Tamandua tetradactyla: one gene and its partners. The protein of the gene in region 4 purifies or fractionates together with the protein of the main gene of each other region. This does not show direct contact. Links are inferred from orthologs where the notes say so. Each region holds a gene or a part of one and is shown on either strand. Other genes may lie near its edges. The genes, in order: TECR, TGFBR1, TAP1 and CANX.

What was found.
Region 1: the proteins of CANX (region 4) and TECR purify together in Homo sapiens (affinity purification with mass spectrometry; 3 studies listed by BioGRID and IntAct, with this or other methods). This does not show direct contact. The link is inferred for Tamandua tetradactyla from reciprocal best matches to the Homo sapiens genes CANX and TECR.
Region 2: the proteins of CANX (region 4) and TGFBR1 purify together in Homo sapiens (affinity purification with mass spectrometry; 3 studies listed by BioGRID and IntAct, with this or other methods). This does not show direct contact. The link is inferred for Tamandua tetradactyla from reciprocal best matches to the Homo sapiens genes CANX and TGFBR1.
Region 3: the proteins of CANX (region 4) and TAP1 purify together in Homo sapiens (affinity purification with mass spectrometry; 3 studies listed by BioGRID and IntAct, with this or other methods). This does not show direct contact. The link is inferred for Tamandua tetradactyla from reciprocal best matches to the Homo sapiens genes CANX and TAP1.

The regions. Positions count from the first base shown.
Region 1 is NC_135337.1:88,450,856-88,458,067, reverse strand, and holds the start of TECR (very-long-chain enoyl-CoA reductase), read left to right. Parts: upstream 1-4,212; 5' UTR 4,213-4,349; coding exon 4,350-4,364; intron 4,365-7,212. UniProt on the Homo sapiens protein: Involved in both the production of very long-chain fatty acids for sphingolipid synthesis and the degradation of the sphingosine moiety in sphingolipids through the sphingosine 1-phosphate metabolic pathway.
Region 2 is NC_135328.1:16,290,948-16,298,823, reverse strand, and holds the start of TGFBR1 (TGF-beta receptor type-1), read right to left. Parts: upstream 3,015-7,876; 5' UTR 2,981-3,014; coding exon 2,896-2,980; intron 1-2,895. UniProt on the Homo sapiens protein: Transmembrane serine/threonine kinase forming with the TGF-beta type II serine/threonine kinase receptor, TGFBR2, the non-promiscuous receptor for the TGF-beta cytokines TGFB1, TGFB2 and TGFB3.
Region 3 is NC_135331.1:88,703,264-88,710,825, reverse strand, and holds the start of TAP1 (antigen peptide transporter 1), read left to right. Parts: upstream 1-4,550; 5' UTR 4,551-4,613; coding exon 4,614-5,187; intron 5,188-5,693; coding exon 5,694-5,808; intron 5,809-5,975; coding exon 5,976-6,106; intron 6,107-6,914; coding exon 6,915-7,120; intron 7,121-7,531; coding exon 7,532-7,562. Other genes in the region: PSMB9 (proteasome subunit beta type-9), read right to left, coding at 62-203, 430-559, 1,222-1,353, 2,133-2,200, 3,992-4,051. UniProt on the Homo sapiens protein: ABC transporter associated with antigen processing. In complex with TAP2 mediates unidirectional translocation of peptide antigens from cytosol to endoplasmic reticulum (ER) for loading onto MHC class I (MHCI) molecules.
Region 4 is NC_135346.1:1,594,976-1,602,528, reverse strand, and holds the start of CANX (calnexin), read left to right. Parts: upstream 1-4,548; 5' UTR 4,549-4,659; intron 4,660-7,553. UniProt on the Homo sapiens protein: Calcium-binding protein that interacts with newly synthesized monoglucosylated glycoproteins in the endoplasmic reticulum. It may act in assisting protein assembly and/or in the retention within the ER of unassembled protein subunits.

The DNA of each region.
Region 1 (7,212 bases), on a different chromosome or scaffold from region 4:
AGGAATACTACTCTGCTATAAAAAAGAACTGGTGACTGCTACATGAAACAATGCAGACAAACCTCAAATGCATTGTGTTTAGTGAAAGAAGCCAGACTCAAAAATCCATCTACGAGAATAAAAAAGTATTTGCAAAGCCCCCTGGAGGAACTGGGGAGAAAGGAGGAAATCTTAAACTTCCCCTCCTGGGGAATTCCTGATATTCTCGCAAGCAGTGGGGACAACCAATTTAATAGGCCGAGCCCTTGATCTTGGGGTTTGCCCCTATGAAACTTATTGCCTCAAAGGAGAAGCTAAAGCCTACTTATAATAATGCCTAAGAGTCATCCCCAGAGAACCTCTTTCGTTACTCAGATGGGGCCTCTCTCTCTAAGCCAACTCAGTAGGTGAACTCACTGCCCTCTGCCTTATGTGGGACATGACTCCCAGGGGTGTAAATCTCCCTGGCAGTGTGTGAAAGAACTCCTGGGATGAGCTGGGACTGGCATCACAGGATTGAGAAAGTTTTCTTGATCAAAAGGGGAAGAGAGAAATGAGAAAAAATAAAGTGTCAGTGGCTGAGAGATTTTAAACAGAGTTGAGAAGCTATCCTTGAGGTTATTCTTATGCATTATATAGATATCCTTTTTTAGTGTATGGTGTATTAGAGTGGCTGGAGGGAATTACCTGAAACCGTTGAACTGTATTTCATATTCCAGTAGCCTTGATTCTTGAAGATGATTATATAACTATATAGCTTTTACACTGTGACCGTGTGATTGCGAAAACCTTGTGGTTGATGCTCCCTTTATCCAGGGTATGGACAGAGGAGTGAAAAAAAACAAGACAAAAAAATAAATAATAAGGGAGACAAAGGGTAAAAAAAAAAAAGGGTAGATTGCAATACTAGTGGTCAATGAGAAGGGGTATGGGATGTATGGGTTTTTCTCATTCCTTTTTATTTCTTTTTCTGGAGTGATGCAAATGTTCTAAAATTGATCATGGTGATGGATACACAATTATGTGATGATATTGTGAGCCACTGATTATATACTTTGGATGGACTGTGTGATGTGTAAAGATATCAATAAAAAATAGTTTAAAAAACAAACAAACATGCTGCCTGATGTATGATTCCATTCATAGGAACTTTTGGAAAAGGCAAAACTATAGCTACTGAAAGCAGGCCAGTGGTTACCAGGGCTGTGGCTGGTTATAAAGGGGCATGAGGGAATCTTTTGGGGTGGTGGAAATATGTTTCTATAGCTTGCTTGTGGTAGAAGTTATGTGATTGTGTATGTTCAGAACTATACACTGATCTGGGTGAATTTTGCTGTATGTAAATTATACCTCAATGAAAAAAACCAAAGAAACATATTCACAATAGCCCAAAGGTGCAAGGAACTCAAATGTCCATTGCAGATGAATGGATCGACAAAATGTGATGTTTATGTACCATGGGATATTATTTGGCCATAAAAAGGAGTGAATTTCTGACGTGTGACAACACGGATAAATCTTGAAGATGCCATGTTGAGTGAAATAAGCCAGACACAGAAGGAATAATATTACATGATTTTGCTTACAGGAAATGTCTAGAATAAGAATAAGCCAATTTGTAGAGCAAGAAAGTAGATGAGATGCCTGATGGGGAGAGCAAGGAAATGAGGAGTTATTGCTTAATAGGCACAGAGTTCTTATTTGGGTGATGAAAGGTTTTGGTAATGGATGTATTATAACTTTGTGGATGTAGTAAATGCCACTGAACTGTAGTCTTAAAAGTGGTTAAAATGGGAAACTTTGTGTTATATATGTGTTACTGCAATAAAAATTTAAAAGGATGGAGGGAAAAAACCACACATACACAAATATCCTCTGGATTTAAAAAGAAGGGAAGCCAGGAGAGGGCCTGGGAAACCTCTCTCCCAGGTCCCTGACATGATAGAAAATTGCTAACCAGCCTTGGCTTGTCGGCTCTTGTCTTCTTCAGACAACCCTGCCCAGGAGGATCACGTACCCGGAGACATAAGCCACGCCAGGTTTCGGGAAAATCAAAACGATACTTTACTAGCACTTGGGAAATACAAAAGGGGCTTGTGAGACACACACTAACAAACCCACCAGCTCTTTGATGTCCAAATGACGGTGGGTTGGCCCTGCTCAACCTTCAAAACTGCCCCAGTGCAGGTCCCCTCTGGAGTTTCCCCTTTAGAGGTGGCTTTAAACGGGCTTGCCAGCAACCACCAAATATATCCGTCGGTCGCTGTGCTGGGGATGCTGAGGACATGGAAACATTCATCCCAGCTACTGTACCCATCCCAGTACCATCCCAGCCACCGTACAGCACCATGGGTGACTCGAGCAAAGCAGCCAGCCTTAGTTCAGAGGATATTTCTGCAGTCAGCCTGGTCACTGGAACGAGGGGAGGAGAATGAGGGCCCCCCCTAGCCTGCACTGTCGGTCAAACACGAGGAGGAATTCTACTTTCTAGGTCTAGATTCTGAAGGTGGGGCTCATAAAGACACCCTCAAAGGGGAAATTCCAGTATGATCTGAGTCCGTAGGAGTATGCATGGAATCTCTCCAAAAATCACGTCTACTGGGCCATCCGCCTTACCTAGCTGGAATCCAGCCATAGAGAAGGCTCACCCACTCAGACCACACGGGAGAATGCAGATATCAGCAGAAGTGGCAAAGGAGCAAATGGGGGCTAGAGTTTGGAGGCTTAACCCACACCCCACGGACCATTCACAACTAGATAACTGGAGTAATGCAACCGAGCCCAACTTGCCGCCTCCAAGTGTATAGCCATGCCTCTCTTCCTTGGGAGGGCAGGGAGCAAGGCCTGTCTAGAAGCCTCCAAACTGCCAACAGAAAAAGATGTGTGCTTTTGAAAGCGCAATTAGCAAACACCTTTACATTTTAATCTGCTTTGCTCAGAGAGACACAGTGAACTAGATAGGTGTTTCTGAAGTCTGCACGCAGGCATCGACTGAGTTTATTCGGAGACAGTGGGTCCCAGAAGGCTACGGCTTCCCGAAGTTTCTCCAGAGCTGAACCGGGATGACTCAGTGTCAAGTACTGACTCACCCTCTCCCTGCTCAGCTCCTCTGTGAATCAGTGATCTACCTTTGAGAACTCCTTACCATGTTGGTGAATTCCAGAAGGGTTCAACAACTGCTGAAGACTACCGTGAACAGAGGGCCTTTGTTCCGAGGCTCAGGGGCAGGGTCTGGAAGAAGGAGAAAGGAGAGAAGGTGAGGGACAGTGCCAGGAGCTGCTTGCTCCTCAGGTTGTACTGAGATCTTCAGCGTTTGTGTGCGTGTGTGTTTGCATGTGTGAGTGAGTGTGCGAGGTCAAATGGTGAATCACTACTGTGATTCATGCCTGTGATTTCAAATGTTCTAGTAGGTGCATTAATAAAAAAAAGTAAAAGAAACAGGGGAAATCAATATCTTTTAAAGTTTCTAAAATAGCATTTCAACATAAAAAGTTATTAAAAAGGTATTTTATAATCTCCCTCTCATGTAAATCTTGGCAATTGGGCATGGGCTTTGCATTCACAGCATATCGTAGTTTGGACCAGTCACATTTCAGCAGGTAGAAACATACGTGGGTCCCCTGCCCAAAGGGATAAGGAAGGTGGCACGGGAACTTGTGCTGAAAAGGGAGCTGAAGATACCCCCAGAATGGGCCGGGGGTCAGTTTTCAGGTTAGGGGGCGTTCCGGGGGGGTGATCTTCACTACCCCTTCCCTATCTCCCCTTCCCTCGCTCCATTCATGACAGATAGGGTCACCCCCCCCGACGCTGAAGCCTCACCCTCCAGGCGGCCTAGTCCGCGCCTCCACCCCCCAAACCCTCTCCCGGGACCCCCGGAGGCCGCCCACCTCGTAATTAACTCAACCGCGCCGCCAGCCATGTGGACCCTGCTCTCCCTGTCACTCAATTTCTTGCTCCCGCCTCCCACCTTTCCGCAACCGTCGCGTCCTTTGGTTTCCAAGGCGACGCGGTCAAGGGGCGCTTGGCGCCGAGGCCCTCTTTTGATTGGTGGGTGGGCAAGCCCCGTCTTTCCCACAAGCGCCCTCACACCGCCCCGTTCGGTGGGTCCCGCGAGCCGATTGGCCATTCCCATGGGGCGAGGCCGGTCCTCACTTGGCCCGCCCCGGGGGACGGGAGCGAAGGTGGGTGCCCCGCGCGCTGATTGGCCGGTGGGGCCCGCGCGCGCGCACGCGGCAGGGAGGGGAGGGGCCGGCGCGGAGCTGCAATTAGTCTCGCGCGGCGGCCGCGAGCGCGGGAGGCTGCTCGCTCCGTGTCGCGGGCAGGGAGTAGCAGCATTCGTAGCGCAGCATCGGCTGCTGTGAGAAGGAGCGATGAAGCACTATGAGGTAAGAAGCGAGGACGCGGGGGCTGGGTGGCCTCCTTGGATACCCCTTCTCTGTTTCTTCTTTAGCGGGCGCGCGAGCCATCCCGTCAGGCTCCTGCGCTCCGAGGAGGCGAGCCCAGCGGCGCAGGCGCAGTGGACGCGCGCTGCGCCCCTTGGCCGCTCACAAATCGAGATGCGCATGTGCGGGGGAGGTTTTTAAATTTAATTTAATTTTATAATTCTGCAACCAGGCTGTTTTGGGGGGTGCTTTCTTCCTGGGGTCTCTGCAGGGCCTGGGCAGCTTATGGGTGCCCTTCGGCTCCCACAGCGGGATGAGTTGCAGGTTTTGGCAGGGGGGGAGCGAGGGCGTGGGATTCCTGCTTTCCATTCTAGGACAAAATCTTGCGCAAACCTTGCACCATTGCCACCGCCTCCGGCTTAGCAAGGGGCTTTGCATTCGCCACGACCTTTGGACCCCTTCCCTCGCCCCGCAAGTCCCGGACCAGCCGAGACGGTGCCGTTTCAGGGCTGGCTGCAGCCGAGCTGCAAAGCTGATCTTACTTTCTGCTAGTCTTAAGAGGTCAGCTTAGCCAACTCCTGCGTGGCACCGAGGGGAAATCTCACGTTTTGAAGCCCAAGACTTCTGACTCCTAACTTCGGTATCTTTTCTCTTAAAACGGAGTCTTCTGGTGAGCTTATCGTCCTGGTCGACAGTAGAATACGAACACTTTAGTCATTTAACCGTTGCTGCCTTTTAAGTAACTTTATCCATAAAAAGTAAACTTATTGAGATTAATAATAACACAGTGCAAATAAAAAGTCATTTATCATTTGCGTAAAAAAAAGGTTAATTATAAGAATAGCAAGTGCTTACTCTTAGGGCTAGTGAGATTCTATTACCTTCCTTCTGTTATCTAAGAGGTCAGTCTATTTTATTATTCCTGTTTTTATAGATGAAGAAACAGTCTCAGGGATAGCAAGTGACTTGCCCGAAGACCTCAACCTAGTAAATGCAGAAGAAAGAGAGCAATTTAGGATGGTATCTTGTCCAAAGTCTTCTATGCCCTGTTTGCCCCTCAATGGAAATTAGCAGGTCTAGAGATTTCTTGGTTCTGTTCACAAGTTGAATACCACTCTCTCTTTGCCCCCTTTACTATTGTTACTATTATTTTAGTAATTTGCCCAGATTCCTTCAAGTCCTTCCACAAATCCTCAGTCATTTTTGATAGGGTACCAAGAAGGAGAAGGTAGGATCAAATAAAGTCTCATGCCCCATTTAACTTTATGATTCCAGAATAAGGTTCTTCTAACACAGATTTCCATTTCAAACCCTCCATGTAACCCTAGAGAAAAAGCCAGGTTTAATTTGAAAGATGGAAGATACCAGGATGGAAGAGCCACATGAAATTTTGCAAAATGAAGTCAGTTGCTAGTCAGCAGTTGAATAAAGAAGGTCTCCGAGAACCCTTGGAGTGGGTGATGCATAGAAGCTGTGAAAAAGTTTGATGGCCCCGGCTTGGATTTCAGAATAGGTTCCACTTCATTTCAAACCTTTTCCTTCCAGAAGGAAGAGGGAGCTTCAAACCCACTGCTCTGAGTGACCTTGGAGAATAAAATATATTGTTGTTTTGCGGTGTCCTTCTTTGCTATCATTCTCTGCTGATATCTGCTAAATGCTGCAGCTACAGGGTTTCTCTCTCAGAGCTGTGCTTGTACAAGCAGTGTTTTTTAGCCGATCACCAAAAATAACAGAGAGGCTTTTCTTTGCATTTAGCAGAGGTTTCAGTTATCCATATCGAAGAATTTATTTCTGTTTGGGACTAAATCCATCGCCCACCACCTCCAAGCAACCCTCCAATCCACAGAGTGGTTAGCCTGTCTCAAAAGACTTGTATGGAGACTTTGGATTAGATCACAGAGTCCAGTTTACTAGTGAGAGAAGCAGTATCACAGAGGTGTGGGGACTTGTTCCACTGTCCCGGCTGGGTCAGGGCAGAGTTCTAGCTGGTGGAGAGATTTGTTGCTGCTTTGATTACTGTTTCATATCACTGTGATCTGAGGGGTGGTAGGGGCGGAAGTATCCCCCAAGGCTTAATTGAGACAAGCAGCTGAAAGGGTCACCCTTCAGGCCTGTACTGAAGCTGTCTCCTTTCCAGGCCAGAGCAGGTCTTGGAATTATCTTGAGGTCAGCACAAGGTTGATAAGACAACTGTTTACCCTGACAGATACTCAGCCTAGCAGGATTGTTATTATTATATTTTTTAATTGCTGTTTAAGACTCCTGGCAGATGAGACTCAAAGTAAGGATCTCAGGAGCAAATGGAAAAATTGCTTTCAAACCCTTTAAATTCTTTATCCCCCTTAGCCCACTTCACTGCCGGTTTCCCACTGCCGGGTACTGAAAGCAAGAAAGCACCGCTTTCATTGAAGATCTTCCATTAACCAAACAAAGTAGCTCTTTTGGGCCCACCTTGCAAATAATCCTAGACCCACATCAAGCAGGTGGTTTCCTTCAGCTTCCTTCATGGGAATAAATACCTGAAAGTCTTGGGAGAAGAGTTCTGGTCAAGAGGCAATTGTTTGGAGCCAGAAAACTGGCAAGGAAGGCGAAGATAACAGGAGAAAGTAAACTAGTATGTAATGATGAGGTGGGTGCATGGGCTTTGGGCCAGAGGCGAAGCTGGTTCCGCCACTCACTGAGTGTGTAACAGGGCAAGTTACTTAGTTCCCTGGAGCCTTTCTGTGGCTGCTCCCTGGAGCAGAGCCCATTTAATTGCGAAATCAAAGAACAGTATTCCTAGAAATATATCAAAAGTTATGCACAGAAGGGGAGTTGCCACATGGAGCCCTGGTTTATGCATTTAAGAAAT
Region 2 (7,876 bases), on a different chromosome or scaffold from region 4:
CAATCAAAAGACACATATGGCAGAGTGGATCAATGGTTGAGCATCAGTGCTGCCTATTACAATACTAACAATACCAAATCACAAACTCTTTCTCATTTCATCTTCACAGTGTTATGAATTAGGCAAAGTACGAAATATAAATGTGGTAACCAATTGCTTTTTTCACTGGTCAACTTTCCCAGATTAAATACATGGAACTACAAACTAATACTACATAAACTGCACTCACATATAACAGTAAGAATACTAAACGCAGTAAGTACTAAAGAACAGTCAATCAAATGGAATTCATTTAATCAACAAACACTGAAGTGGAACAGAATACAAAACAGTACTAGGTTCTGAGGGCATAAAGGAAATAAAAGACATGATCCTCACCCTCTGGGTATGTAAAATATACGGAATAACAGTGCAAGAGGGTAGAAACAGACAACACCAACTGTAAGTCCTACACAGTTCAAGCAGATAAAGAATACAGGAAGTCAAAACTGAGAACCTTCCTACTCCCACTCCCGAAAAGGAGCAAAATTAAATATGCAGTGTAAAGGCTAAACAGTAAGGAGTCAGCGGGAAGACAGAAATCACTGGAACTGAGGGGCTGCTGCAGTGAGAAGTGAGACTTCTGGCTGGCGATTTGGAGATAGCCCTAACGTCAGCCTCCATCGTGTGCTCTAAGTGCTGAGCACAAACGGGAAATCTTGTAAAGCCCTTTTGGGAACGGCGGAGGAAGATGAGTTTGGAAGTAGCCCACAGAAAAGACAAGACAGAGAAAGAGTGGGAAGCAATTCAAATGTGAGGGATAATGGGCAGGACTTAGCTGATACAAAGGACTAAGGTGACCCACACAAAGAAAGAAAGATACATATTCAATAGGTATTAATATAAAGAAAACTTGCGTTTGAGGTATGTTTTCCAAGGTAAAGGGAAGAGATGGCAAAAAGGAAGCAACTAGTATTCTCCTATGGGCTATAGATGTGGACATTGTGGTACTAAACTGTGTACTAGGGACAGGGAACCAATTTTTCTAGAGAAATTCATGTTGGAGAGAGCAGAGGCTGTTTTAGAGAAATATAAAACTGATACCCAGACTATAAGGAACAATGGCAAGCTCTTGAGTAAGGCAGACAAATCATAAAAATTTTTTTTAAAAAAGCATTTGAGCTTAACTTCTTCAGCATGTACGAAAAGGTTGAGCTGAAATATCAATATAACCATTCCAGGCAGGTGGACCAGTTCAAGAAGTCTGGGCTTGGAGTCATAAGCATCTGGATTAGCTTTCTACACCGCAAACCAGTGTACTGTGCAAGCCCCTCCCGGGCATGCACTGAGCAATGCTTGCTCTGTACATTCAACGCGCCTGATGCTGCTATGTGAGCACATGAACGCTCCCCGCAGAGCTAGGTGCCAGGATAAGTGGAAAAGAGTTAACAGTGGTACGGAAATGTTATTTAAACTGGATGTGGAACTAAACTGCTTCTCTCCCCATCCAGTTATCTTGCTCCCCTCCTAACACCAATGTCAAAAATCCAGTTTCCTCGAACACACTCCCAGTGTGAAAGGAATGACAACAAAGTCAAACTGAAATGTAAATGGTGAGGCCAAAATCTCAATAATAAGGAGCAAGTGTTCATCAGATGACTGGAACAAAATAGGCTGTGCCTTTTTGGTCTATCTTTGGAAACAGAGAGTCCTGGGTGCAAATCCTTAATCTAGCCTTCTCTGTGCTTCAGTTTTCTCAGCTATAAAATAAGGCAAACGCCACTAGTCCTGAGGGTTTAGTTGTGAGGATGAGATAACGTGCTTTGGTGTACTCTGCATCCACAGCACAGTCAGCTCTTAACAGACAGTAGCTATCAGAGCTAATAATAACTGTCACCCTCGGTCTTCAATTAAGTTTTTAAATTGTCGTTTGTTTTCTTTCCTAACATTTGGTGTCATACTTTCACTGTATATTAGCTGCTAGCACTAAGCCCCTATATTTTAGTGTCCAGTATTTTAATTCTGTTGCTAATACGAAGTTTTTCACTCCTTACCGGAGTAGATGACCACCTATACCCCATCCCGATTTAGTATTTTGGGAAAGCGAGCAGGCGTTCTCCCTTGTAAACCAACTACACGGATGACTGCTGCAAACTACTGCCTGTCACCAAGGATAAGGACCATCACTAGCAAACATTCTTCTTCGAGGAAATAAAAGCATTCGCTCAATTCACAGAGTAATTCTCATTCAAGCCTTCCAAACCGCGCAGAGTGAGCAAACGTTCAAGTTTCTACAACGGAAACGATCAGCGGCCGTCTGGTCACTGGATTCGCTAAAACCTTTGCAGCCGCACCGAGAGCAGACATTCCGCGCATCCCGGGCCTGCTCCTCGCCACACAAAGCTTCGCAGCTCCGTTTCCAAAGCCACCCCCGGCTGGAGAAGCCGCCCCCCTCGGCGGGGTCGGCCCGGCTGACCCGGGGTTCGCAGCCGCACCACGCCCCCTCCCACAGCTGGAGGAGGCCCTCTGGGTTCAGAACTCGACCGCCCCACCCCGCCTCCGGGGCTCCTGTCCGACCCCGCCCCGGGCCTGGGGGCTGCGGGCATCTACCCGCGAGGAGCGAGGGTCCCGGGACCAGGACGCCGAGGGCGCCGGCGCGGCGAGGGGGTAGCCCTGCTCGGCCGGCCCGGTGGCCCCGACCCCAGGAAGGCAGCCCCGGACCCCGGACGGCGCCGCCCGCGGAGCCCGCAGCGGGGGCAGCTTCCCGCGGCCCGGCGCGTCCACCCGCCCCGGCCCAGCGCCCCGCCCTGGCCGTGGCCCGGCCCCGGCGCCGCCACCTGCGCCCCCGGCCCCGCGCCATGTTTGAGAAAGAGATGGAGCGAGCCAGAGGCCCGGCCCGCGCGCCTCGCTGCTCACCCGTCGCCCCCCGGACCAGCATCGCCGCCGCCACCAGCACGAGGAGGAGCAGCCGGGGACGCGCAGAAGCGGCCGCCGCTTCCATGGTCCCGCTGCTGCCGCCGCCGCTGCCGCCACCGCCGCCGCCTGAGGCCCGGCCCCGCCCGGCCGCCGCCGCCTTGCTACAGCCAGCAGCGCCTCGCCCCACCTCCCGCCGCCGCCGCCGCCGCGCTCGGCCTTTTGGAGTTGCTCCGGGGCCGCGCTCCCATTGGCTGCCGTGCTCCAGCCGGCCCCGCCCTCCCTGCTCTCGGCCAGCGGCGAGCGTGGCCCGGTCCGGAGCCCCGCCTACGGGCCCATGGGACACCAATCCGGAGCGACAGGCTCCAGGTCGCTGGCCACGCCCCCAGCGCTCCCTGGGTCTGGGCCGCCAGAGGGGGAGCTATGTGGGGGCCGCGTCTAGCCGGCTCCATCCTGGACTGGTGTGTCTGTGTGTGAGCCGCTCTCGGGAAAGGCCGTGCCCCTCACGACACTCATTGCTTCTAGTCCCCTGGGTAAGCGGCAGCACAGAGCTGGTCCTGACCCCGACCCCACCCGGACCTCCATTCACACCCTGCACGCCGACCCCCGACACCCCCTGCAGCCAGGCTTCAGCTCCCCCAGCCCAGTTCCACTCCTCAACTGCCGACACCATCCCATACCAAAATCCTTCTTCAGTGCCCTTCATCGGCGACTTGGTCCCACTGTTTCCTCCTGTTAGCGCTCACCCTCAATCTAGCACCGACCACCCCCCTCAAATTCCAAGCTCAGAAAGTCCCCAAATCCTGGCCTCAGACCCCTGATCCCGAACTCAGATACATTCCCAAATAGCCTCCCACCTCCCCCTGGAACAAGGAGGAGACCCAGAGACCCAGAGCTGGGCTTCAAACCACCCTCCTTCCCCCTCCCCACTTTCTGATCCAGGTTGGAAAGGGAAGCCCCCCGCTCCCCACGTTGCACCCCCAAAGAAGGAACATTCCCCTTCTCTGCACCCATCTCCCACGGGGCGGAGGGAGAGCAGTCAGGGTATCCTGAGCTGCCTCTAACACGCCTGCACGGTAATTTCGAGGTGTCACTAAAAACCCGAATCAACTCAACTACGTTTTCATTCTGAATTCCTAAATTTGCAGTGAGGCGCTCCACCCACCTTCCCACTGGGACGCCAAAATGAGCTCCAGATTTGTAATTCTTCCTGTCAGACTAGTCCTTTCTTCAGACCCAAACACAGTCAAAAGAGGCTGTTACATAGAACAGAGAACATTTTCCCGCAGAACCTTTTAAGGAGAAAATTTTATTTTCTGTGTGATTTGAGCCTGCAATTAAATAAACGTTGGTAGCAGGAATCCGCAGCAGCTTGGACGATCGATTTATAAATTACTTTAGAGCCACTCTGTGAGCCTTTCCCGGGCCTGTAAAGACTTCCTTCAGTGAGCTGCAGAGCGGGAGGGGTGGGGGTGTTGGAGCAGGATCTGGGCACTTCCCTGGCCAGGTCATTTAACCTTTCTGAGCTTTTGTGTCTCGTCCATAAATTGGAAATAATATCTACCTCCCAAGGTTACTGAGAAGATTTGATGAGATTTGGGAGTTCCCCCATCCTCCTTTAGGTGCCAGTTCTAGACCCTTCCTCCAGACCCTTCACCTGCTCCTCCACTCTAGACCACACCCCCCGGCCAGGTAAGGGACAGGTATCCTTCAAACCACCTACTCAGGCATGCAGCTGCTGCTGAGCTCCACGGCTGCCAGCAGGGGGACCAAGCCGGAGAAACAGCTTCTGGCAGCCTCCAGCCCCAGCCTGCTCCCTCAATTCCAGTTTTTTCATTGGAGACTTCATGGGTAAGTCAGGTTCTGTGACACCTGAGGTCCCTAGGCTGCCTTCTCACTGCAGTTCTTCTCAGGGTCTTCATAAGAAGAGGGCTCAAGAAATGTTTATTGTTTGAATGAGTGAATGAATGATTGACCTCAGACAAGTGACTGTTCTCTGACCCTTAGGTTCCCCATCTCTAAAATGGGGATAATAAGTTTTTTTGCGAATGGAAAGGATTGAATCACATGTCATGTGTCTCTTAAATGATGTAATGTGTCTGCAACAGCGTCTGGAACATAATAAATATTTAGTTAATGCCATTTCCTTTGCCCATCCCCTTTCCGGTTTTGTATAATTCTCATCAGGATTTTTGCTCATGTTAACCCCTGCCTTTGCTTTACAGAGCCTCAGATAGGGCATCTTCCACGACATACCTCTGATTCCTTAGTATTTCCATTGAACTGACTGAGTCCAACAGGAAAGTGAGGAGTGGGAAGGAAGAACAGGCTATTTTAAAACATGATTTTCCTGATATTAAGAAAAAAGTACCATGAGCCACAGATCCATAAATAGACTACATTAAAATGGAATAATATATTTTAGGTTAAAAGTGGCAGCTCTCAAGCTTTAAAGTGTCTCCAGATTACCCGAGGAGTTTTTAAAAATGCAGATTCCTGTATCTTGTCAATCCCCCATGCCCCCCACCCCCACCAGTCTGGGAATCTTCTTCAGTTGATCTGGAAGGAGTTCCAGGAATCTGCATATGTAAAAAGCATACCCGATGATTCTACTACAGATGGTCAGGCCACACTTTGAAAGACACTCTTTTGGAAAGTGTGACCATAAAATTCAGTAAATAAAAACAGATGAGCTTATTACACCTTTTGAGAAAGGATGGGCAGTGGAAAGGAGCCTCTGGCTTTGAGGTCTTGCAGACCTTAGTTGGAATTCTGACTGTCACTTACTAGGTGTGAGAATCGGTGCACACTACTTAATCTCTCTTTGATTTAGCATCCTCTAGTGTAAAATGGGGTGACACCTACTTACATATTTGTTGTGAGATCTAAATGCACTATTGCAATAAGGAGTCAATCATAAATGCCAACTACCTCCATAGTCTCCATACCCTCTTCAGTGGGCCTACAGGTTGTCTACACCAATGTCTTGATTTAAAGGGGGAGAAACTGAGAACCAGTCCCCCAGTAAGTCAGCTGTGTAACTAGGACTAACGAGATTCTTACTCCAGTATCTTATCCCTGCACAATGCTACCCCTCAGTCTTCATGCTGAGTACACTGTTTGCCTTTCCTTTTGCATTATTCCTTAAGATGTTTTCCCCCAAATCCAGAGCAGAGACTGCCAGTTGCCTAACCCATATCCATTCCTCCATTCTCTTTATAAGAGAACTCTGATTTCCTTTGGGAAAGCAGTTAACCTAGCTAAAAAGTCTCAATTTCCCAGGCTTCCTAGTGGCATTCTGGACAGCGAAATATAAGCAGAAGTCTACCAGAGGGTATTTTGGGGAATGATTCTCTTTTCCTCGTTAAAAAAAAAAAAAAAGACTCATTGCATTCTCACCTTCTTTCTGCCTAGAATACAGCTGCAATACCTGGAGGTGCAGCAACCACTTTGCAAATATAAGGATGGCAGTCATAGTTCGCAATGGTAGAGAATAAAGATGGAGAGATTCTGGGTCCTTGATAAGTCTCTTGAGCAACTGTACCAGCACTTAAATGCTAACCCATGGGCATCTTAATGTGTGAGAAAAATAAACTTTAAAAAAATTTTAGAATGCTGCAGTTCTATACATATGCCCATCCTAACTATTTTGTCTATTTTATTTCTGTATTATTTTTTTAACTTATATTACTGATTTATACAATTGTTAGCTCTTGATAACTGATGGTTCTCTTAACTGTATAACAAACCATCTCAAAACTTTATAGTTATCCTGAGGCTTACTCTTATGAAGCTTATGTAGATAGCGGAGAAGCTTAGCCTACCTATAGGTATGCGTAAGAGTTACTTCTGGAGGACCTCTTTTGTTGCTCAGATGTGGCCTCACTCTCTCTAAGCCCAACTCTGAAAGTGAAATCATAACCCTTCCTCCTACGTGGGACATGACATCCAGGGGTGAAGGTCTCCCTAGCGACATGGGAGATGACTCCCGGGGATGAATCCAGCCCTGGCACCGTGGGATCAACTATTCCTTCCTGACCAAATGGGGGGAAAGAATTGTAATTAGTAAAGTATCAGAGGCAGAGAGAGTTCAAATAGAGTTGAAAGGCTACTCTGGAGGTGGCTCTTACACAAGCTTCGGGTAGACCTTGCTACCTATGATAACCTGCCAACCCCCAACCAAGACTGTTCCAGCCAATCCTGAAGAACACCTAGGGCAATTTATAAGATTCCACAAGGGTTCCAGGCACTAGAGTAACTTTCCAGAAACCTAATACCTCCAGATGGTTCCCTGGACCAGATAAGTCCTGAAACCTAGAGGGCCCAGCCCCTCCAGAACATCAGATGATTCCATTTCCCTACCCCATATTAGTGACAGACCCATCCAAAATAAAAAATTTAGAATTCCATAGCCCAAACAATCCCAAAGAGAGGTATGGAAAGATCAAAGGTTATTTCATTAGGAAGTGGAGTCCATGGTTATTATTATTATTTTTTATTGCTCTGTATGTAATGAGTCTTTTTTTTCCCTCTGTTGCTTTTAAGATTATCTCTTTACCACTGCTTTTCAGCAATTTAATTAAGATGTGCCTTTTTTGTGACTATGTCTCTCTCATCCAAGTTTTTTTTTTTTTGCATGGGCAGACTTCAGTAATCAAACTTGGGTCTCCAGCATGGCAGGCGAGAATTCTGCCACTGAACCACGGTTGCCTACCCTCATCCAAGTCTTTTATTAATGATTGTAGGAATTCCCTATATTATCTAAAAATGAGCCCTTTTTTTTTGAATATATATATATATTGCAAATATTTTTGCTTAATCTGTTATTTTCTTAATGTTAGTTTTCAAAGAGCAGGAGTTTTAAATGTTCTTTTAGAATTAGTTATTTTTTTTTGTTCAGCCTGGAAAATCTCCACCTAACCCCAATCACAAAGATATTCTCCCGTGTTTTCTTCTAGTAGCTTTGCAGTTTTAATATTTTAGG
Region 3 (7,562 bases), on a different chromosome or scaffold from region 4:
ATTCACTTCTTTCTCATGTTTAAAAATCCCTTCCCAGGTTCCCTTCCACTTGTTGATTTACCATCTGTAGTGAAGCGTCTGCACTCCTCAGGGGACATGCCTGGTTTATATGCTGCATCCACATAACCGTAAATGTAGGTGCTGCCGGAGCCACCAATGGCGAAGGGCTGTCGCGTCAGCATTCCTCCCAGAGTTCCATATACCTAGGTGGGGGCGTCCTCAGGTCAGACTAAAGAGTCATCAACCTTCCCCTTCGCACTGAGACAAGCAGATGGCCTCCCCATTCTGCAGTAAAGCTCTGGTATCTCACAGCCCAATAGTTGAGACTCTGTCCTTTGAAACTCATTGCTAGAATGACATATGCCTACCATCTTGTTCCATACAGAAGGGTGGAACCCTTGGGGAGGGGGCAAGTTAGGAGACACTCACCTGGCCCCCTTCACGTTGGTCCCAGCCAGCTATCATGAGATGTGCAGAGAGATCCTCCCGATACTTATAGGTGATATTCTTCACCACGTTTGCAGCAGCCAGAACGAGGGGAGAGTCCTCCAGTTCCAACCTGACGGAGATATTAGGCGTAGGGGTCTCATAATCTCCTCAAGTCCCGGCCTCTGGTGCTATTACCACTATACCTGCCAAATGACCTATAATACTTATATTAGTTCAAATTCCAGCTTCCCTTCCACACGTACAGGGCAACCAGGGTTTCAACCAGGGTTTCATGTCACCAATTTATAAGGAGCTTTCTGTGGTCTTCTCCCTGCCCCACCCTACCTCCAATTACTTAATTGTCCTTTGTCTACAAGGACCCTGACCTTGTATGGAAAGGCAGATAAGCTTTATTTCTGCTTGAATGGCCTTGATTTCTCATACATTAACTTTGATCGAGATTATGGTGGGCCACGTGATCATTTTCTTCCTTATTATTTATATCAGTGTAGTGATTTACAGTTTTCAAATGGCTTTCATATATATCATTTTATTATCAAAATAGCCATGATGTGAGGGTAGGTACTAGTATCTGCATTTTACAGGTACCGAAACTGGCTTATAGAGATTCAAGCACGCCAGTTCAAAGCTAATGAAAGCAGGAACCCAAATAAGAATTTCCCATTTCCTAACTCAATGTGCCTGGAACAGAGCCTCACATAGAACTTCATGGGGTTGGAGGAGCTCCAGTAAGCGTGGGGTCAGGAGCTCATGGCCAGTGGAAATTCCTACCCATGGAGTTCCAGCTGGTAGGAGGCCATGTCTGCCACGGCCTGGGCATCAGCAGCTGAGCCAGAGAGGGCACAGTAGATGCGCTGGTGTAGAGGGGTGAGCTTGTCAAACACTCGGTTCACCACTGCCTCTCTGTCAGGAAGGAAGAGCAGTCATCAATGTTAGAGTTGGCAGGAATTGGTAAGGTCAATCAATGAGTGCTTCTCAAATTTATTTGACAAGAGAACAGTCATGGAGTGCATAAAATTCAATGCTTGGATTAAAGCAGAAAGCTAAAACAGTCTCATGGATAAATGCATTGGTGCAAGAATTAGTCAGAGTTAGATTTATTTTTCAGGTTTAGATTTTATTACAGAAAAATAACCCTAAGTTAAGAAGGTAAGAGAAATGTACCTCAACAATTTTTTTTTTTTTGCTATTCATCATCTTGAGAAATGTAATGGAACACAACAAATGTAATATTGATCTAATCCCATATACTGATATTGCATGTGAAGGAATTCTGGCCAGGAAGGGAGAGTAGGGACAAAATTAGCTTAATAGTTGATAAATGAGAAATCAGAATATCTGCTCGGCAGAATCATCTCTTCTATCCCTAAATAGAGATGGAAGGAGGGACCCTCAAATTTCTATCTCTTGTCTCCCTCTAAGACTCTGTTCCTTTACACTCCACCCCCTTATACTACAGGAACAGGCCACATAAGCATCCAGATCCCATGTCCTTCCTTCATAAACTGAGAGACCCAAGCACCTACCCAATATCTTATTATAGTGGCCTGTCCTTTCTGAATGGTCTGGTCCATTTTTCCAAAGCTCCAGTTCACCAGTTTTTTGTTCATGAATGAGTAAGAAAAATACGTATTTGGTGCCATTAGTTCCTTCCAAATCCTTATAGTTTCACGGATACTCACCCTGCAGACACCCGAGAATCAGAGCCCACTACCACGCCCCCATCAAACTCCACTGCCATGATGGTCGTCTGCAGAGACACAGAGAACGGACTTCAGAGCAGGAAGTTCTGACCTCCGTACTACAGGTGAGGAGACCCTGCCGGAGAGGAGAGGCGACTGGCTCAAGGTCATACAGTAATACAGGCCAGGGCAGACCCCAGTACAAGGTCTTTTCTCCATCTTTCCACTTCTCTATTGCCTTATCCCACTTCAAGGGAACGCCACAGCACAGCCTTGATACAACAAATAAAGAACCACAACCCTAAGTCCCAACTTTCTTGGTGAAATCCTTTCCTTTCTAAAGAGAGATGGGGAAAGAGCCTCCTTGAGGTAGAAGTACTCCCTTGGAGGGAAGGGTTCGAGGGCACATAAGTAGTCCCACAAGTGAATTTTCTCTACTGCACAAGCTTATTATATGTTCCAATGGGTGCAGGTAACTTGGCAAGAATCTAGGAATCTGGGAATCAAGGTCAAGTTTGTTTGCCCAGAATCCTCCATTCTCATCCCCATTTAATCAGAAATGAATTTTTTCAGTGTACTGAACAATGTAAAACATTGAGCTGGTCAGTAGTTAGCGGAGCCAGGTATCAGGGCAGGAGGAAAGCAAGGAAGTTTCGCATAAGAAGTTTAAAATAAGTTTTGCTTGAGTTTCTGATCTAGGAGGTAAGTAGATCTTTCAGGCAGTAAGAGTAAGATGTGTACTGGGAGAGGATTGGATCAGGCTGTCTGGGCTGATTTTTTTCTAGGTCAAGAAAAGAATTAAGAAAAAAAAGAAAAGAATTAAGGAACAGTGATGAGGGATAAAGCTACACTTTCTCTACTCCTTGAATTGGAAGGAGTCTTAATGATCAAAGGAAGAAACTGAGTCATAGAGCAGGTAAGTGACACCAAGGTCACACTGAATCACTAGCAGAGCTGGAACTAAAACCCAGGTCTAACTCCTATGAAGTCTGACTTCTACTTCCTACTTTCCATTGCTCGTGCGGCAGTGAAGGGAGATTTTCTAACTTGCAAATGGTTTTACTGCGATTTTCCTCACTGTTATACCTTACTCTGGTACAACAGTTCACCATGCATTTGGCCAGAGAACTGGTGCAACCCCATCCTAGAGATTACTCTATAACAGAGCTGTCTGCAAACCTGGAATGGAGGCAGCAGTCTGGGAGTAGAGACCAGTCAGCCTTGGGGTTGCCATATGTCCCAGGCACCCAGCCTGGGCAGTCTCCCAGCAGGCATGTGGGAGTGGGGAGGGAAGAGTCAGGGAAGGGAACTGGCAACACCTGGAACAAGCAGGAACCTTCCTGAGCCAAGGTAGGGAAAAGCACCACCAGGTCCCACAGAACCCCCGTAATCAGTGCTTGGGCTATTATCACCCGTCTCTGCGGTGAGCTGATCCTGCTCAATCAGTGACCTTATACCCTCTTCCTAAGTGTAGTCCAACTTCATTTAGGGCACCGTCTCCTCATCTCTTTGCATCGCCTCTAGCCCCCGTTTTTGAATTAACCACCCACCTTGTCCACCCCAGAGTGAAAGTGAAAGCTTTTTAGAGCAGCTTCCCCTTGACGCTTCCAGCTAAGAGCCAAAACACCGCCCCCTACTCTAATGCCTCGAATGCCCAGGCCCTTCGCGGCCCCCTAGAAGACCTTCTTCAGAATAGAGATGCCTTAAGTTCACTGCGGGATGCAAGCAAGCCCTAGCTGCTACAAGCCACTTCCCCACATTTCTGTTAGTCTCCGCACACACTCCTCAGCGCTCCCAGGGTCTCCTTATCATTCCACCTTCTCCGACTCTCTGATAACCCTCAACCCCAGACCCATTACCCCGGTATGAACTTCTCCGGTCCGGGGTAAGTCCAGACTCGGCGCTCCCGCCCGCAACATCCCGGCTGCCTCCTCGCTGCCTGGGGCTCTGGTTTTCTGACCTGGGACAGCGCGCGGCGCGCAGCCTAGAGCCCCGCCCCTTCACCGCGCCCACCAGGGGGCGTCTGCGCCCTCGCTGTCAGGCTGGAAGCGGGGACGCAAACCTGTGTGGGGCAGATCTGCCCAGAGACAGATGACGAAAGGGCCCCGCTCTGAGACTTGGATGAGAAAGTTCTAGCAAGTGCGTCCCGCAGGAAAAGACCGGGAGAGGAGCGAAAGATGTGCGTGATGGAGCAGATGGGGACAACGGTGCCGCTCCCTAGAATCTTAGAATTGATATCCAGATAGTCTGGCCAGCCCCATTTGGAAGTGGGCGGTACAAGAGAGCCGGCTGCCGCTTTCGATTTCCCTTTCCCCTAAACGGCTACAATTCTTGGTAGCAAGACCGGGGACTTTCCCAGAGTTCCGCCCCGGCCCGCCCCTGCTCCCGCCTCCGGCCGTCAGCCCCGGCGCATGCTAGGTTACAGACGCAGGCGAGACCCGCAGGCTCCCGAAGGGAACCCGGGACAGCAGCCGCGAGCCGATGGCCGGCTCAGAGTCCCGGGCTCCCCGCGCGTGCCGGGCCTCCTGCGCGTGGCTGGGGGCGACGCTGCTGCTTCTCGCCGACTGTCTACTGCTCCGGCCCGCGCTGCCCGGGATATTCACTCTGCTGTTTCCCACCGCGCTGCCGCTGCTGCGGGTCTGGGGGGTGGGCCTGAGCCGCTGGGCCGTTCTGTGGCTGGGGGCCCGCGGGGTTCTCAAGACCAGAGTCTCCGATAGGGAAAGCACAGGAGTCCAGAGCTGGCTGGAAGCTTTGGAGCCTCTGGCAGTGGCACTGGGTTTGGCACTTCCGGGACTTGCCTCCTTTCGTGCGCTGGGCTTGTGGGGTGTCCCGAGGGATGCAGGCAGCTCCGGGCTGCTGCACTGGGCAGGTCGCGCCGATGTCTTCATCATCAGCTATGTTGCAGCGCTGCTCGCGGCCGCCCTGTGGCACAAACTTCGGGTGTCCTTCTGGCCTAGCGGCTCTGGAGACGCGGTGCTTCGGCTTCTCGCTTGTCTGAGCCCAGAGATACATACCTTTTCGCTCTTTCTGGTTTTGTTGATCCTCTCCTGTCTCGGTAAGAGGGACGCAGGTGGAGACCGGGAGGATGCAGGTGGTTAGTCAGGAAGCAAGTGTAATGGTCATGAGATGGGTGGTGGTAGTGTTATGGGAAATGTGCATCTGGTGACCCAGCTGAGGTCTCGAGGTGACCACTCCCGTCTGGAGAAAAGTGCATTGGACTGGGTGGGCTCAAGCCCGGGTCTCCAGTCCTGTCCCAGGCGCCACTTCTTTGGGCCACATTGGGCAAGACCTTTCCTCTTGGGCAGCAAGAGGAGGGTATTTTACTCCATCTCTAGCCTTTCTAGTTAAACCCTGGAAAGTCTGGTGGAGCAAACATAGGGCCGGGAGACCCAGGGCAGTCTCCTCAGGTAGGGGATTATGACCTCAGTGTCTTCTTTCTGCTTCTACTGTTAGGAATAAGGATAAGGGCAGCTGAGGGGTGGAATGAGGGATAGTCTGGTCAGAGGTGCCCTGCTTAGACTTAGTGTCTGTGACTGACCGGTCTTTCCTCTCCTACCCCAGGGGAAATGGCCATCCCGTTCTACACTGGTCGTCTCACTGACTGGATCCTACAAGATAAAGTAGCTGCTGCCTTCACCTACAACATAACTCTTATGTCTGCTCTCACCATAGCCAGGTCTGGGGGCTGAAGATGGATGGCTCAGAATGGGGGATCCCAGAAAAGAGGGAGCTGGAAATTGGGGCCTGCTGTCCAAAGTGCATAGCATCTGTGGGGGGTACCTGGGACCTTCCTTCTGCATCCTCCCAGCACCCCACCTGACCTTCCTTCTCCTCTGCCCCTAGCGCACTGCTGGAATTTGCAGGGGATGGAATGTATAACTACACCATGGGCCGTGTGCATAGCCACTTGCACGGAAACGTGTTTCAGGCTGTCCTGCGGCAGGAGACAGAGTTTTTCCAACAGAACCAAACAGGTTTTCACGAAACTCTTTCGCTATATGTTCATGTACTCTTTCTGTCCCCAATGCATTCTCTTTTACTTAGAAACGTGATACCTCTCTTATATGCACACATTGTCATTTCTTACTCTTGATGTATCTCAAGTTGGAGCAAAATATTCTTCTCTTTACCTTCAGAAAAACCTAGTTCCTTCTCCAGGATTTTCCCATAAATCTGTACCTCTCTGTCCTTAGATATAAATTTCAGACTTTCATTATGTCCTTAGAAACTATTTGAAAATTTTGACATCCTGGAGTCCAACTACCTCACTTTCCAGAGAAAGAAACTGAAGTTTAGATCCAAAATGCTGAAACTTTTGTAGTCACATATGGATCAAGACAAACTTGCAGGTTGAACCCCAGCCTTTTAATGCCTAGTGCTGTGCTCATTAGAGCCTCCTGGATTGCCTCCTAGCAGCATTCTCCCTTCTCCATTGCTATTACACAACCAGCTTAGGCTCTTCTTGCCTTTATGTAGAGTTTGGGATATACAAGTTCTTTAAGGAACAGGAAGCTTTCCGAAAAATAGAACTTCACATGGTGCTAATTTTCTCATAGTTAAAATGAAGATCTTTGGCAGGTTTTCACAGCCCCTTCATAGCTATTACACTCCTTCTGCCTGCAATGAGATTCCCGAATCCCTCCATACACCCATCCAACCTTGTTTTTCCCTAGAACACTGTGTTGATACCCCCACTCATGGCATCCTGGCTCATTGTTAGTCTTTCTCATCACTCTGAACCCATTGCATTCACTCTATGCTCTTCTCCCCAACCCCTGGCAGGTGCCATCACATCTCGGGTTACAGAGGACACAGCCACCGTGAGTGAGTCTCTGAGTGAGCAGCTGAGCCTGTTGCTGTGGTACCTCGTACGGGGGCTGTGCCTCTTCGGGTTCATGCTCTGGGGGTCAGTGTCCCTCACCATGATCACCCTGGTTGCCCTGCCTCTGCTTTTCCTTCTGCCTAAGAAGCTGGGAAAGTGGTACCAGGTATGTTCATGGAGTTGGCTTAACCTACACGGACCCTTTACCTCCCAGATTTGGCAGATTCATTTCCTCTTGGATTTCTTTACATTCAACTTTCTTGGTACCCTCATAATTCCCCGCCTTCATGGAACTCCCTGTTCCTGCAGTCCCATTTTTCTAGATTGCTCTTCCTTGATCTTCATACTCCCTGTATCTTTTCTCCTGACTTTTACCCAAAAATCTGTCTTTAAGAATATGATTCCCAACTTTTTGATGAGTCCTTTTCCTCTCCCTTATATCGCTCTAGCATAGTTGTATCCTTTTCTTTTCCCTCTTCTCTCTTATTCCTTTGCCTCTTCTCACCTTTAGTCTCCAACCAGTAACTCAGGTACTAATGAACCCTATTTCTTACCAACCCTCTCTGTGCATCCACAGTTGCTGGCAGTACAGATGCAGAAATCCCTGG
Region 4 (7,553 bases):
AGTTTGGACATTTTTATGGCCTTAGAACTGTAAACTTGTAATTTAATAAATTCCCTTCTTAAAGAGAATTTAAGACAGAAAGAGCAACCTTCAATCCACCTCCAAGTTCTGGATAGCGAAAGGCAAGGCCATACTTCTTTTCCTGTCCTTGGATTCTTTGGTGTCCTTTGATAGTTTCCTTGAGTTAGTCTCAATATATTTCTATTCTTTATAGGCAGAAAGAGGTCCAAATGAAAAAGCTCTTAAAGAAACTGGAAAAAAAGAATTAGAGTAGCTAAGCTAATTATCCTAATGCATAAAGATTTCTTACTGTGCACTGGTTAGAAGCTGTTATGTACCCCTAGAAGGCCAGGTTCTTTTAATCCATTCCTGTGGGTGCAGACCTGTTGTCTTGGTTAGGTTTCAGTTGCCATGTGACCCAGCCCAATTTAAGGTGGGTTTTTATCCTTTACCGAAGTCCTTTATGAGAGGATCAAAGGAAGAAAAAGCCGAGAAAGCTTAGAGAAAAATCTCCGGAGATGCTCAGAGAGAACCTACAGAAGCTCAGAGAGGAAGCCACTGGAAGCAGGAGCTGAAAGCAGTGAAACCTGGGAACAAAGGACCAGCAGATGTAGACCAGTGCTTTGCTATCTGACAGAGGAAGCCTGGCTGCCAGAGGGCTTTCCTCAGAGGTATTGCCCTGTTGAGGCCTTAATTTGGACATTTTCATGGCCTTAGAAATAAAACCCCATTGTTAAAAACTGACCCATTTCTAGTATGTTTAACCTCACTGTAATAAAAGAAACCTCAATTAAAATAATCTCGTATTGTTCTGTGCTTGTCAATTTCACACTGCCACATTAGTGTCGGTAGAAGGAAATGACCGTTCCTTGCTTAACCAGAAAGAAAGGGCCTGATGGAAATGTAGGGTGCCCCTTCTTTCCCCGTGCTCCTCACTCCCCTTCAAGCAAAGGATGGTGAGAATGAGTAAGGATGAGCTAGCTGGCTTTTCTTCTGGGATCTTGTAAGGTGGAGGAGGCAACTTAATATATAAGAGGAGGTTGGAAAGGAAGGATAAATTGATCAATGCCTTCAGTACAGTTTTGCTTATGTATTTTGTTTGTTTTTTACATGGAGAGGCACCGGGAATTGAACCTGGGTCTCCAGCATGGTAGGTGAGAACTCTGCCTGCTGAGCCACCGTGGCCCACCCTGTTTACAGTAGTTTTAAAATAGTCTTTTTTTTTTTTTTTTTAGTAACTAAGCACATATTTTTACATATGTAAAAATCTATTTGATTATTGAAAAAATAATACATGCATCTCATATGTATGTATGTATATATGTCTTCTTTCTTCCAGAGTCTCAAGCCCTCATAGCAGTTTCTTGTAGTTTTCCAGGGAGCCTGTTTGTCCAAGCTTTTATTTTTAAGAATATATCTCTCTTTTCAACACAGAAAGAAGCATATTTTACTAAGCACTTTTTCACGCAACACTGTCTTGGCAGTCATTCCACATCAGTATATATATACCCTCACCTCATGCTTTTCATACTTCATCTAACCAATTCTCTATGATTGGTCAATTCGATTTTTTCTAGGACTTTGGTACCAAAACAATTATGCAGTGTGTATAACTTTATATGTTCATACATTTTATATGTATATACCTACCAGAACAGTATGTGGATATATTCCATACACATATGAGGATATATTCCCAGGGGTGCAATTGCTGGGTTAAAGGATATGCATATTTCAAAATGGATATAAATAATTCATTTCGAAAAACTTGCAGGTTATACAATAAGGTCAGAAAATATTCAGTCCCATTTCCCACACCTCTAACATCTAAGAACTATACAATGCTTATTTATTTTAATGAGGTATTTTAATGCCGCAGGTACCTTTTGAATTGGTAAGAAAAATTTCCTTCTTCCAAGTTCATTGTCAGCCTCCTACACTGAAGAACATCATGCTCTGGTGGAAAAATCCGCATCCCGAGACCTGCTCTGTCTCAGGCCCAAATCCATATTCCCAGGTCCAACCAAGCCTGAATTACTTCTTTCTGTTGGGGTTCTACCACCTCCAGTCCAGGCCCCAAGCCTCTCTGCACTGGCTTTGTTTCTCTCTTTCCTTAGCCTTCTGAGTCCAATGGGCCATTTGTCAGCATTAATATTTAATGCTTTTATTTCTGCATAGGAAGCCATCTCCGAATTTTCCCCTTATCAACTGCAAGCGCTGGTTTCCTTACCTGCCTGTTTCAGACCTCCCTGGAATGATGGTTAAAATAAGGCTTCCCCCAACACTGAAAACATGACACAAACTTAAAATGTGAAATTTCTCCCTCTAAATTCCTTGGCTAAGCCAGGCTCCAGCTCAACTGTGGAGCCACTTTACCATCTCTCACTTTAATGAACATCCTTCTCCAGCTTGAACACCATTGTCCACAAACACACTCTGCTTGGTTTCTTACCTTTGCACACGCTGTTCCCTCATCTAAAGAAACCTTCCTCCCACCCTCTACTTACAGAAAACCCACACAGCCTACGAGGCCCAGCTCCCATGTTTTCACTTTCCCTGGCCATGTGTGCTGGTTTGAAACTGTTGTTCCCCAGAAAAGCCATGTTCTTTATTTTAATCCCATTTTGTGGGGGTAGGCCTATTGTTGGGTGGTTTTTTTTTTTTTTAACTTTTTTTAAAAATTGTAAAGTACAACATATATACAAAGCAAAGCAATCATTTTCAAAGCACACTACAACAAATAGTTACAGAACAGATCCCAAAGTGTCATGGGCGACCATTCCACCATCTTAGATTGTTCCTTGTAGCTGCTCCAAAACACTGGAGGTTCGAAGGAATATTAATATAGTGATTCAGCTGCCATACTCATTAAATCCCATTTTCTTTGTTATACCTTCTCCTTTAATCCTCCTCTTAATCTATAGGGATTTTTTGGCAACGCCTGTTCTTTTTTCATGTTGAGAACGGATGTGGACAGCAAAGGATATGGGCACATAAATAAACTGATAATCTTGGAGAGGCTGCTCCCTTTGGGTTTCAGGATTTATCTGACCTAGGAATTCTGGTTTTTAAACTTTTTGGTTAAAGTGTTTCCAATCGTGGGTGGTGCATTTTGATTAGGTGGTTTCCATGGAGATTTCTCTACCCATTCAAGTGGGTCTTACTCCACTTACTAGAGTCTTTAAGAGAGAAGAATTTGAGAAAAAGTTTAGAGCTGGTAAAGACTTTTGGAAATTCAGAAAGAAAACGTCTCCAAGTGAGGTGTTTGAAACCAGGAGCCAAAGGACCACAGATGCCAGCCACATGCCTTCCCAGCGAACAGAGATACATTCCATGCCATCATCCTTTCTTGAGTCAAGGGGCCTTTTCCTCAATGCCTCAGTTTGCACATTTTTATGGTCTTAGAACTGTAAACTTGCAACTTAATAAATCCCCCTAATAAAAGCCAACCCATTTCTGTTATATTGCTCTGCAGCAGCATTAGCAAACTAAAACATCATCCTACATGCAAGCAGTTCTTCCCTAATCAGAACCCCACCAACTTCACTTGCGTACCCCCATCTTTTAGCACTTAACCTTTGCTGCAGCAGCGACTTGGCTCACTCTACCTCACTTTGAAGCCCTTTGTTTGAAATATTATGTTGCCTTTAATTCCTACTTTCCCAGTTAAGCAGGAAATAAAAAACAAAACTCCCTTATGCACATTTGGAGCCTGAGAGGTGGCAAACGAAACTAAGGCAAACGCCAGACCCTGAACTCCTCAAATGCCCCTCCGGGAGATCCACCTGGCTTCTATGACACACCCACTGGCTCTAGCTATTCTCCACCGAGGATTCGGCCTTTGGGGAGCAGAGCGGACGGGAGACGGAGCCCTGGGCCAGTTTTCAAGCAACCCTGGGTCGCTCTCACTTCCCGAGCTTCTCGGCATAGTAGAAACTGCAGATGTGCTGCAGGCGGGTGACGCGAGCTATGCGCGTCTCCACGTCTCTGCCGCGCCGGCCTTCCGCGGGCCTGTCGTCCGCGTGTCCGCGCGGCAGGTCTGTACCGGCCTCCACTGCAAGCGGGCCACGAGGCGGCCGCGGCGCGGAGTGATGACGCACAGGAACGCGCCGGGGACTCGAGCCCAGGCCCGCGGGCGGCCCTCGGTGCCGGGCGCCCAGTCCCCGCGCCGGCCCACAGCCCGGGAAGCCTTCCCCACCAGCCCCGAGGATCAGGACCCAGGGCGTGCGCGAACCCAACGCACCTAAAGCGCGCGGCTCATCGGGGCCGGCCCCGCCCCAGGACGCGCGCGCCCGTCGTCCCCGGCCCCGCCCCTCCTCGCTCGCCCAGCCGGTAGCCACTTCCTTCCTCGCATCAAGCCAATCGGCGCGCTCCACGAAGAATAGCCCTAGGAGGCGTCTGGGAAGGTAGCTCGAGCGATGGCCACGCTGACCAACCACAGCCCGGAGCTCGCGCGCGAGGGCGGGACTTGGCTCCCGCCGCCACCACTCCCGAGCGAGGGGCCGTCGCGGGGCGGGACGCCCGCGCCGAGGCTTCTGGGAGCTGCGGCACGTGACGGCCGGGCCGCCTCCGCCGCCGTCTCCACTGCAGCGCGGGGCCGGGCGTGTGTGCAGGCGCGAGTAGGCGCGGGTGCCGCCGGCGGTCCCCGGGAGGCTCGAGGTGAGGCGGGGGCTTGCGAGGGCCCCAGAGGCCGGGGGTCGGGGCACTGGGCCGGATCTGCCGGCCCCAGGCCCCGGTGGGCGCGGCGGCCATGAGGGGCGAGCTCGGGACCTGGGCCTCCTCAGCGGGGGAACCGCGCCCAGGCCGCGCCGCCGGGGCCGGGAGGCGTGGCAGGTGCACCGACCCTCGCCGGCCTCGGGAAGGCCCACCTGCTGCCCCGGCCTTGCGCCTGGGCCTTTCCTGGGCCTCTTCTTGGTAGTGGCTGCGGGGTGGGTTGGAGCCGTCGGGGAAAGATCCCGAGTGGAATCGCGCCGTGTCGGCACTCTCGGTAGGGGGAAGGAGAATACCGGCCGAGGGAGAGGATGCAGGATCAGATTGAGGAATGTTTGGAAAATAAGATTTCGGAGCGAAGCCCGGATCCTGGCACCCCGAGGGGTCGGAGAATGTACTAGAACCTAGCTAGGGGGCTGAGAAACTTTAGTCTTAGCGTTGCAGTACCTCCGGGGGTGTGGGGAGTGACCCCGTCGGAAATTCCCAGTGAAAGGGAAAGCTCACGGAGTTGCGACTCGCCCTGCGGTGGAGGAAACCGACAGGCCCAAGGTCATGCGATTGGTTTAACGGGCGGTTGAGGGTATGATCCAGGGCTAGGTCGTTTCGGTGTAGTGGCGAAGGGTAAGGCCCTGGTTCAAATCCCGCCCGGGCGGTTCGCTAGCTCTGTGAGCTTCGGCAATTTCCATAACCTTTGTGCTCCAGTTCTTGGCAAATAGTGGATATAATAATATCTGGCGGCGTTGAGGAATACATTAGGATGTTTAGAAAATAGGACAGGGAAGCCTGATTCATATAGCGAATGCTCGATAAATAATGATTGCGATAAATGATTGAAATCTTGATGTTGTTTCGCTGTATTGACAGTCCTGTTTTTGAGTTGGACAAGTCTTGTTTTGCAGGACTTGAAGACACCTTGATGGTCTGGGGGGAAGAAACTGGAGCGTGTGAATTAACTTGCTGGCATGACACCAGTGAATGCTGGTTGAGGGAAGTTACACTGAGCTGAACATTAAATGCTTGGGAGGACAGAGGTGAACGACAGTGACGTCTCTTCTAATTTTAAGAAATGGAAGTTTTTGCTTAGCTTTTTAACAAGTAGATTTTGTTTTAAGGGGAAGCAGTGTAGCAATCTTTAAAATGATGCTATATCTTCCTGTAACAATGTCGGAGGGTCCTGAGTAGAATCGACTGCCCCCTTGCACGTTTACTATAATTATCCGTAGAGCACAGGTGAAGAACTGTGTGGGAATTCTCCGTTCCACCAGCCAGGGGCATGAGAAAAGGTCCAGGTAACTGGATTGTGTGACTGCTGGAGAAAAGTATTGGCATGAATGTTGCACAGCAAATGAGTCTCCAGACCTATCTGAAAATGGGTGTCAGCATCCCATCCACCCCATTCCCCCAACCCCCCTTACTATCTTAACTAGGCAGATCAGCTGTCATGTTATCTTTCACAGACCACGGAGTAAACATTGTGGCAGAAGTCATTGCTGCAGTTTTGGCAATCACATTGCTGCATCCTTTCAGTAGAGTTCACTTTGTCCTGCAAGATATCTTACAAGAAAGGAATGACAGTTGGTAATTCATAAGTGTAGGCTCAAGCTGAGCACAGTAATTAGCTCATGTGCTTCCCTGGTTTACACATCTTTAAAATGGGAATGAGATGTCTCTTCAGATGCCTTACTTTTAGGAGGCTGTTTACCTTTGTCCATCTTAGCACGAAGCTTCTTTGAAAAGTGTAGAAAATTGGGCAATTAGGAAAATTGGCAGCTCTTAATAATTCCTGGAAGATAATAAAAGTGCCAAAGCATAGGTCAGTCTATATGGTTTACTGTAGAACTTCATCATAAAAATGCTAGTTCAATGCCTTGTTACTGCAACCGGTGTACAGTTTTAAATTAATTTGGAGAGGAGTGCAGCGGTAGTTCAGTGGTAGAATTCTCACCTGCCATGCCGGAGACCCAGGTTTGGTTCCCAGTGCATGCACTTCCCAAAAGAAAAAACAAAAATTCAACAAATGGTGCAATAATGGGATACTCATATGGAAAAATAATGAAATGTGACCCTACTATACAGCATACAAAAAAAAAAAAAAGAATTTGGAGGATCTTCAGTATGTTTCAAGTATTCACTTCTTAAACTTACTTAGTTGAGAGGAAGAAATAAAATGTTATGGAAAAGTCCATTCTAGTGTTCTGTCAGTGAAAAAATCCATAAAGGTCAACAAGGCAGTTTGGAAGATCTACTTTAAAATGGGTGAGCGTTTACAATAAAGACCACTTTGTATTTTATCTACCTTTTAATTTCCTTTTATTATTTTGTTTTTGACTAGATATGCATGATGGTAAAACCGGAAGGTACCATATGAAGCAGTAAGTTGGTTCATCTGTGACTGCTATTCTTTTAAATGGTTCCTTTCCAACCTAAGACTTAGAGTTTCTTATACTGTCTTAAAACTCAGAGTTTTGAAACCTTTAAAATATGACAAATAAAAGGAGTTATTAGACAATATCTAGTAAGAGTAAAAAAATCCCAGCTGTTGCTGAATATATACTGTAAGTAAGCTAGGCATGTCGCATGCATGGTGTCTATGCAGCAGTCTTAAGAGGTAGATACTGATATTCTCATTTTCTGGATGAAACAGCTCACGCCGAGGGGTTAGTAATTCACCTAAGCTTGTAAGTTGTCAGGTGCTTGAGCAGGACTTGGGAGTCCCTGCTCATAAACACTCATTGCTATTTGTTCTTGGATAGGTTATGTAACTTTAGACTTAGTTTCCTCATGTGTGGAATGGGCATGATAGTACTGACCTAGAATTGTGATGATTAAAGTAGAACACACAG